Anolis sagrei: one gene and its partner. The protein of the gene in region 1 interacts with the protein of each later gene in a pairwise test. Links are inferred from orthologs where the notes say so. Each region holds a gene or a part of one and is shown on either strand. Other genes may lie near its edges.

Region 1 (3,758 bases):
AATGTTGAACATGGATGGGGCAAGTACACTCCCCTGAGGCAGGCCGTTCTTCTGTTTCCGCCATCTGCTTCTCTGGACCTGGAACTCAACAAAAAAGCTCCTGTTTTGTAGCAGGTTTCCTATGAGGCGGGTGAGGTGGTCGTCCTTGGTGATATTATACATTTTTCTCAGGAGGAGGCGGTGGTGGTTCACAGTATCATAGGCTGCTGACAGGTCTATGAAGACAGCTCCTGTGATCTGCTGCCTTTCAAAGCCATCTTCTATGTGCTGAGTCAGGTTCAGCACTTGCGATGTGCAGCTTTTGCCTTTTCTTATCCACACAGTCAAAGGCTTTAGAATAGTCAATGAAGCAGAAGTAGATGTTTTTCTGAAACTCCCTGCCTTTCTCCATTCTCCAGGATCTGGATATTGGTAATTGGGTCTCTCCTTCCTCTGCCTTTTCCTCTTTCCTAAATGAGAGGAATTCCACTCAAGCTCCCACTGAAGAACATGGGAGTCCTCATTAGACCTTCTGGACTAATGTGGCCCTTCTCTAATGTCTCTTTCCTGGCTCAAAAGCGTCTTGTTTTGGGCAGACCATCCCTGCTCGTGTGGGCCTTCTCTAATGTCTCTTTCCTGGCTCAGGAACTTCTTAGGCCTGAAAAGGAAACCAAACCGACGCCATTTTGCGCCTCTTTTCCCATCAGGCACCGCGATTTCGGATGCGCATGCGCCCTTCGGGAACGGAAGGAGCGCGCGCATGCGCAGTGGGCGCCCCGGCACTTCCGCCGTTGGAGAAGGAGGCCCAGGGAGTTTGGAGAGGCGCTTCCTTGGCAACAGGCAGAGGGAAGGTGAGGGGCCTGCGGGGGGTGGGAGTTGTAGTTCGGGGCGGGCCGCAGCGGGGAGAAGGCCCCACTGGGGCTGCCTCAGGATCCTGGGATTTGTAGTTTGGGAGAGGCAACAGGCCTCTCTTCGGTGGGGAAAGGCCCAAGGCCTTGGCAAACTACAACTCCCAGCACCCAGGAGCCTTGAGCCAGCAGGCCTGTGAAACAGGGATCCAGCTGCCTTAGCTCTGCAGCACAGATGGATTAATCAAATGGTAATTATTATTATTAAATTAATATTATATATTATATATTATAATATTTTTATAATTTATTATAATGTTACTAATATATATATATATATATATATCCAACTGCCTTAGCTCTGCAGTACAGATGTATTAATCAAATAGTAATTATTATTATTAAATTAATATTATATATTAATATTATTATTATATATTATAATATTGTTATAATTTATATTATAACACTTTTATATATGTGGGTATGTATGTGTGTGTGTGTATATATATATATATTATCCAACTGCCTTAGCTCTGCAGTACAGATGTATTAATCAAATAGTAATTATTATTATTATTATTATTAAATTAATATTATTATATATTATAATATTGTTATAATTTATTATAATGCTACTATAATATGTGTGTGTGTGTGTATATATATATATATATATATATATATATATATAAAATATCCAACTGCCTTAGCTCTGCAGTACAGATGTATTAATCAAATGGTAATAATAATAATTATTAAATTAATATTATATATCATATTATTATATTATATTGTTATAATTTATTATAATATTACTATAATATATGTACATATATATATATAATATATCCAACTGCCTTATCTCTTCGGTACAGATGTATTAATCAAATAGTAATTATTATTATTAAATTAATATTACTATATATTATATTATTATTATATATTATAATATTATTATAATTTATTATGTTACTATTATATATGTGTATATATATATATATATATATATATTCAACTGCCTTAGCTCTGCAGTACAGATGTATTAATCAAATAGTAATAGTAATTATTAAATTAATATTATATATCATATTATTATATATTATAATATTGTTATAATTTATTATAATGCTACTGTAATGTAATATATATATATATATTTATATATATATATATATATATTACATTACAGTAGCATTATAATGCTACTGTAATGTAATATATATATATATATATATATATCCAACTGCCTTAGCTCTGCAGTACAGATGTATTAATCAAATAGTAATAATAATAATAATAATAATAATAATAATAATAAAGAGCCTATACGATTCTTTTCAATTTCTGGCTGAATAACTTAAATTCTGATAATATTTTGACTTTGGTGTTTTAGCCATTCCATTGTGTGGCAGTGTCGTTCGGGTTGAATCGGTTGAGACTCTGTGTTGAGATATTTATAGAAAAACTGTCGCAAAATGTGCTGCAGGATGTCTCTCTTGCAACAACAAAGTTTTGGCAGTTGGATCAACGTTTTCCCATGACTTTATGATAGAACCAATTAGGAAACAACATTGGTAGCACAGGAACAAAAATCATGTAATAACTGTGTGTGGAGGGCGAACTCGGGATCTCCTGCAGGGAGAAAATTCTCTCGCGGATGGAGTGTCACGCTTGGCCTTTCCTTCCTTTTCCCTGTTCTGCTTCTAGACGTCGAAGATGAATGTTGATGCGGCGATGCTTTGAAGTCCCGAAGACTCCGTGGTTCAAGTGGTGGTATGAAAATGGCCGCCTTGCCAGGGACCTCTGTCGGGCCTCCTCCTCTTCCTCCGCCGGACCCGGGGGCCGCGGTGTGGGAGTGGCAGGACGAGTGTGGGCGCTGGAGGCCGTACTGCAGTGGGGTGTGCTGCTACATCGAGCAGTCCTTCCAAGCCCTGGCGGCAAAGGGCCGGCGCTCGCTGGGGACCTGGCCCTTGCAAGGCAGCATCCCCCTGGGGCAAGCGGACCCTGCTTTGGCCCCCTACGTCATCGACATCCCCAGTTTGACGCAGTTCCGACAAGATACAGGTAATGTCCACAGGGACTTCCATCTCCTAGCCAATCGGTAAACAGTGTGACTTGTGCGTGTTGATGGTTCGCCTGCTGAGTAAAAAAATGGAAATGCAGTAACAGTAATAATAGAGCAAAGGCGGATCTGGCCGGAGTGGTCCATGCCTTGGTCACCTCCAGATTGGATTACTGCAATGCGCTCTACGTGGGGCTGCCCTTGAAGACGGCTCGGAAGCTCCAACTGGTCCAACGATCAGCAGCCAGGATGTTAACTGGGGCCCCTTACAGAGAGAGGTCAACCCTCCTGTTTAAGGAACTCCACTGGCTGCCGTTTATATTCCGAGCTCAATTCAAGGTGCAGGTGCTTACCTACAAAGCCCTGAACGGTTTGGGACCAGCCTACCTGCATGACCGCATTTCCATCTATGAACCCACACGTTCTCTTCAGTCATTAGGAGAGGCCCTGCTCGTGATCCCACAGGCGTCGCAAGCACGCTTGGTGGGGACGCGGGACAGGGCCTTCTCCGTGGTGGCCCCCCAACTCTGGAACACCCTCCCCAAAGACCTTAGACAGGCCCCTTCATTGGCTATTTTCAGAAAGAACTTAAAAACCTGGCTTTTCCGATGCACCTTCCCAGATTAGGAAACCTCCACTACCGAGTCCCACAAGCACTTTATCAGAACCAATGACTGCTGCACATTGCACATCGCACTCGCCCTAGAAACCCTTTATACACCTCCTGTCAAATCAGCACTTTTAATCCTTGTACCCACCTTTTGGCCCGGCCCAGTTTTATTGTGTTTTAATGTACTGTGCTTGTTGTTTATTTTGCTTTAATTTGTTTTAATTGTTTGATTTGCTTGATTGTATTGCTATGTTGT
Region 2 (3,758 bases), on another chromosome or scaffold:
TAATTTAGAAATACATTTAAAATATAAATATATAGGATAAAAACATAGAGATTTTAGGATATTTATGACATTGAATCTGACTTTTTTGGTTTTACCGGCATGTATAATCTACTGTCTAATGAACTGTATAATGGGCTTGAATTATTTTTAGTGTTTTAATGGTTTTTAATGCTTTAATTGTACTTCGAATTGTTTATTTGTTGACATCGTATGGTGCTTGTGTGAGGCCGCCCTGAGCCATGAAATAAATAAATAAATAAAGAATCAGTTTATATACATAGTAAAAATCTAATAATATTTAATAACAAATAATAATAATACATTTAATAAATAATAAATATGAATAAGAATCAATAAAATATTGATAAATAAATAAATAAAATAATATTAAAAGCATTTATTAATATTTAATAATAAATAAAATAATAAACAAATAAATTAAATATAATTGATTTAAAATTTAAAAACAACAATAATAAAATAAATATTTTAATAATATTTAATAAGAATAAAATATAGAATATTGAACTCCAATACTGGAGAATCGGTTTATACACATAGTAACAATCTAACAATATTTAATAAGAATTAAATATGAATACTAATTAATATTTAAAAATGATAAAATACGTAATATTAACATTATTCTTTAAACCATTAAAGACAAATGCACTTTAATATTAGTAAAGGTTTACTAAATTCGTTTAAAACTTTGTTTTTAAAATATTTAAATAATGTATCCATACCTCTATCTATCTATAATAATAACAATAATAATAATAATAATAATGACCACCTCAACAAAAGTTTGCTCTAGGCACTGTCAGGCCATTATATGCTAATCAAGGTGGTCAGTTGAAACATTCACACCTAGCTCCAGCAGACAAGAGTCCTTTGTCCCACCCTGGTCATTCCACAGGTATATAAACCCTTTTTCCTAGTTCCAACAGACCTCACAACCTGTGAGGATGCTTGCCATAGATGCAGGCGAAACGTCAGGAGAAAATGCCTTTAGAACATGGCCATATAGCCCGGAAAAACCTACAACAACCCAATACTAATTTAATTGGAGAAATAGCTCACAAGGCCTCCCTCCTTCCAACGAATTCAAACTCGGAGAGTCCAACTGTCTATCACAAACGCCTAAAGCAATCCCTTTCCCTTTCCTTATACAAGAAACTTGTTAGAGTAAGACTTTAGCAATCGTGTCCGCACTATGAAAAAAAAACCGCGCTTTCACCTAGCTAGGGTTGCTATGGCGACGTAGCGAAACCGTCAGGCGAACACGGAGGGCACCTCGAACAAGGCTGTCCAAAAGTGGGGTCCTCCGATAGGAAAGCGGTTGGGAGTTTGCGCATGCGCACGATGTCTTTCGAGAGAGGCGTTCAGTCGCTAAGGCGAGAGCACATGCGCAATGGGAAGAAGCGAGAGAAGGGGCAAAACAGTGCCGCGCGTGCGCAAAAGGCAGAACGCAGAGGGAGAGGATTACGCTGCGCGTGTGCAGCTGAGAGGCAAGCCCTTGGACATGAGGGCCGTGCTGCGCATGTGCACGGGGAATGAGCGAGGAAGCAAGCGATAGCAGTGACGCGCATGCGCAAAAGGGAGAACGCTGAGGCGAGAGGCGTGTGCTGCGCGTGCCCAAAGGGAATGAGCGAAAGAGCGCGCGGGGAGGGGGGGGCGGACAGCGACGCGCCTGCGCGGAAAGGAGACTTCTGCCCACCAACGGCGCCTGATCTTCCGGTGTGTCCCCGGCAGGCCGCCGTCATCGGCGCCTGCGCGGCGGGCATTAAAAGGGGACGGGGGGCGGGGCGCGGAGCCTTCCTTCCTTCTTTCCTGCCTGCCTTCTTTCGGTTGATGGCGGATCCCGAAGAGAAAGGAGGAGCAGAAGGCCAAGCAGAAGCAGAGCAGCGCTCCCGGGCAGGCTCCGGAGGACCCCGCAGGTCGCGCGCCCGCGCAGGGGGCCTCTCTAGACCACAGCCCAGGTAGGCTCTATGGTATGGGAAGAGGCAGAAGAAGAGCAGAATCTATTATCCCATTATTATTCTGTTCTAGTAATATTCTCTAATATTATTAATATTTTCTTCTATTATTATGTAATACTATTCCTATTATTTTACTATTATGTTCTATGTTCTATTATTATCTACCATTATATTCAGCTATTAATACAGTATTATATTATTTTATTGTTGTTATTCTACTCTATTCTATATATTCTGTCATAGCTCCAACAGACAAGAGTTCTTTGTCCCACCCTGGTCTTTCCACAGATATATAAACCCCATTTATATACTATTATATATATATATATATATATATATATATATATTCTATTTATATATTATTATTATTTAATTACTTTATTTATTTATTTACTTTATTTATATCCCGCTGTTCTCAGCCCTTAGGCGACTCACAGCAGTTAACAACAAGAACAGCAAAAATTCAATGCTACCATAACACGGTATAAAAAACAGTTAACATCATAACATATTATAGAAAGGTATACAATTAACAACAATATACAATTAACACCAATAGCCATTATTATTATTATAGAACAGAATTGTTGTTATTCTACTCTATTCTATATATTCTGTCTTAGCTCCAACAGAGAAAAGTTCTTTGTCCCACCCTGGTCTTTCCACAGATATATAAACCCCATTTATATTCTATTCTATATATATATATATATATATATATTCTATTTATATATTATTATTATTATTTATTTACTTTATTTGTATACCGCTGTTCTCAGCCCTTAGGCGACTCACAGCGGTTAACAACTAGAACAGCAAAAATTCAATGCTACCATAACACGGTATAAAAAACAGTTAACATCATAACATATTATAGAAAAGTATACAATTAACAACAATATACAATTAACACCAATAGCCATTATTATTATTATAGTACAGCACAACGACAGAGAGGAAACAAACAAGGACGTCTAATCACCTCTCAACGAAGGATTGCTCCAGGCTCTGCCAGGCAATCAAATGCTAATCAAGGTGGTCAGTTGAAACATTCACACCTGGCTCCAACAGACAAGAGTCCTTTGTCCCACCCTGGTCTTTCCACAGATATATAAACCCCATTTATATTCTATTCTATTTATATATATGTGTGTATGTATATATATATATATATATATTCTATTTATATATTTATTATTAATATTTATTTACTTTATTTATTTATTTACTTTATTTGTATACCGCTGTTCTCAGCCCTTAGGCGACTCACAGCGGTTAACAACAAGAACAGCAAAAATTCAATGCTACCATTACACGGTATAAAAAACAGTTAACATCATATTATAGAAAAGTATACAATTAACAACAATACACAATTAACACCAATAGCCATTATTATTATTATAGAACAGCACAGCGACAGAGAGGAAACAAACAAGGACATCTAATCACCTCTCAACGAAGGATTGCTCCAGGCTCTGCCAGGCAATCAAATGCTAATCAAGGTGGTCAGTTGAAACATTCACACCTGGCTCCAACAGACAAGAGTCCTTTGTCCCACCCTGGTCTTTCCACAGATATATAAACCCCATTTATATTCTATTCTATTTATATATATGTGTGTATGTATATATATATATATATATATATATATATTCTATTTATATATTTATTATTAATATTTATTTACTTTATTTATTTATTTACTTTATTTGTATACCGCTGTTCTCAGCCCTTAGGCGACTCACAGCGGTTAACAACAAGAACAGCAAAAAT

Evidence for each region. The genes of interacting proteins can lie anywhere in the genome.
Region 2: the proteins of DTX2 (region 1) and EIF4ENIF1 interact in binary tests that used the Homo sapiens proteins (3 or more experiments, as listed by UniProt). The two-hybrid records come from large-scale screens. The link is inferred for Anolis sagrei from reciprocal best matches to the Homo sapiens genes DTX2 and EIF4ENIF1.

What each region holds. Positions count from the first base shown.
Region 1 is NC_090031.1:32,855,646-32,859,403, reverse strand, and holds the start of DTX2 (probable E3 ubiquitin-protein ligase DTX2), read left to right. Parts: upstream 1-732; 5' UTR 733-830; intron 831-2,537; 5' UTR 2,538-2,605; coding exon 2,606-2,894; intron 2,895-3,758. UniProt on the Homo sapiens protein: Regulator of Notch signaling, a signaling pathway involved in cell-cell communications that regulates a broad spectrum of cell-fate determinations.
Region 2 is NC_090034.1:49,410,690-49,414,447, forward strand, and holds the start of EIF4ENIF1 (eukaryotic translation initiation factor 4E transporter), read left to right. Parts: upstream 1-1,613; 5' UTR 1,614-1,982; intron 1,983-3,758. Other genes in the region: protein SFI1 homolog, read right to left, coding at 953-979. UniProt on the Homo sapiens protein: EIF4E-binding protein that regulates translation and stability of mRNAs in processing bodies (P-bodies). Plays a key role in P-bodies to coordinate the storage of translationally inactive mRNAs in the cytoplasm and prevent their degradation.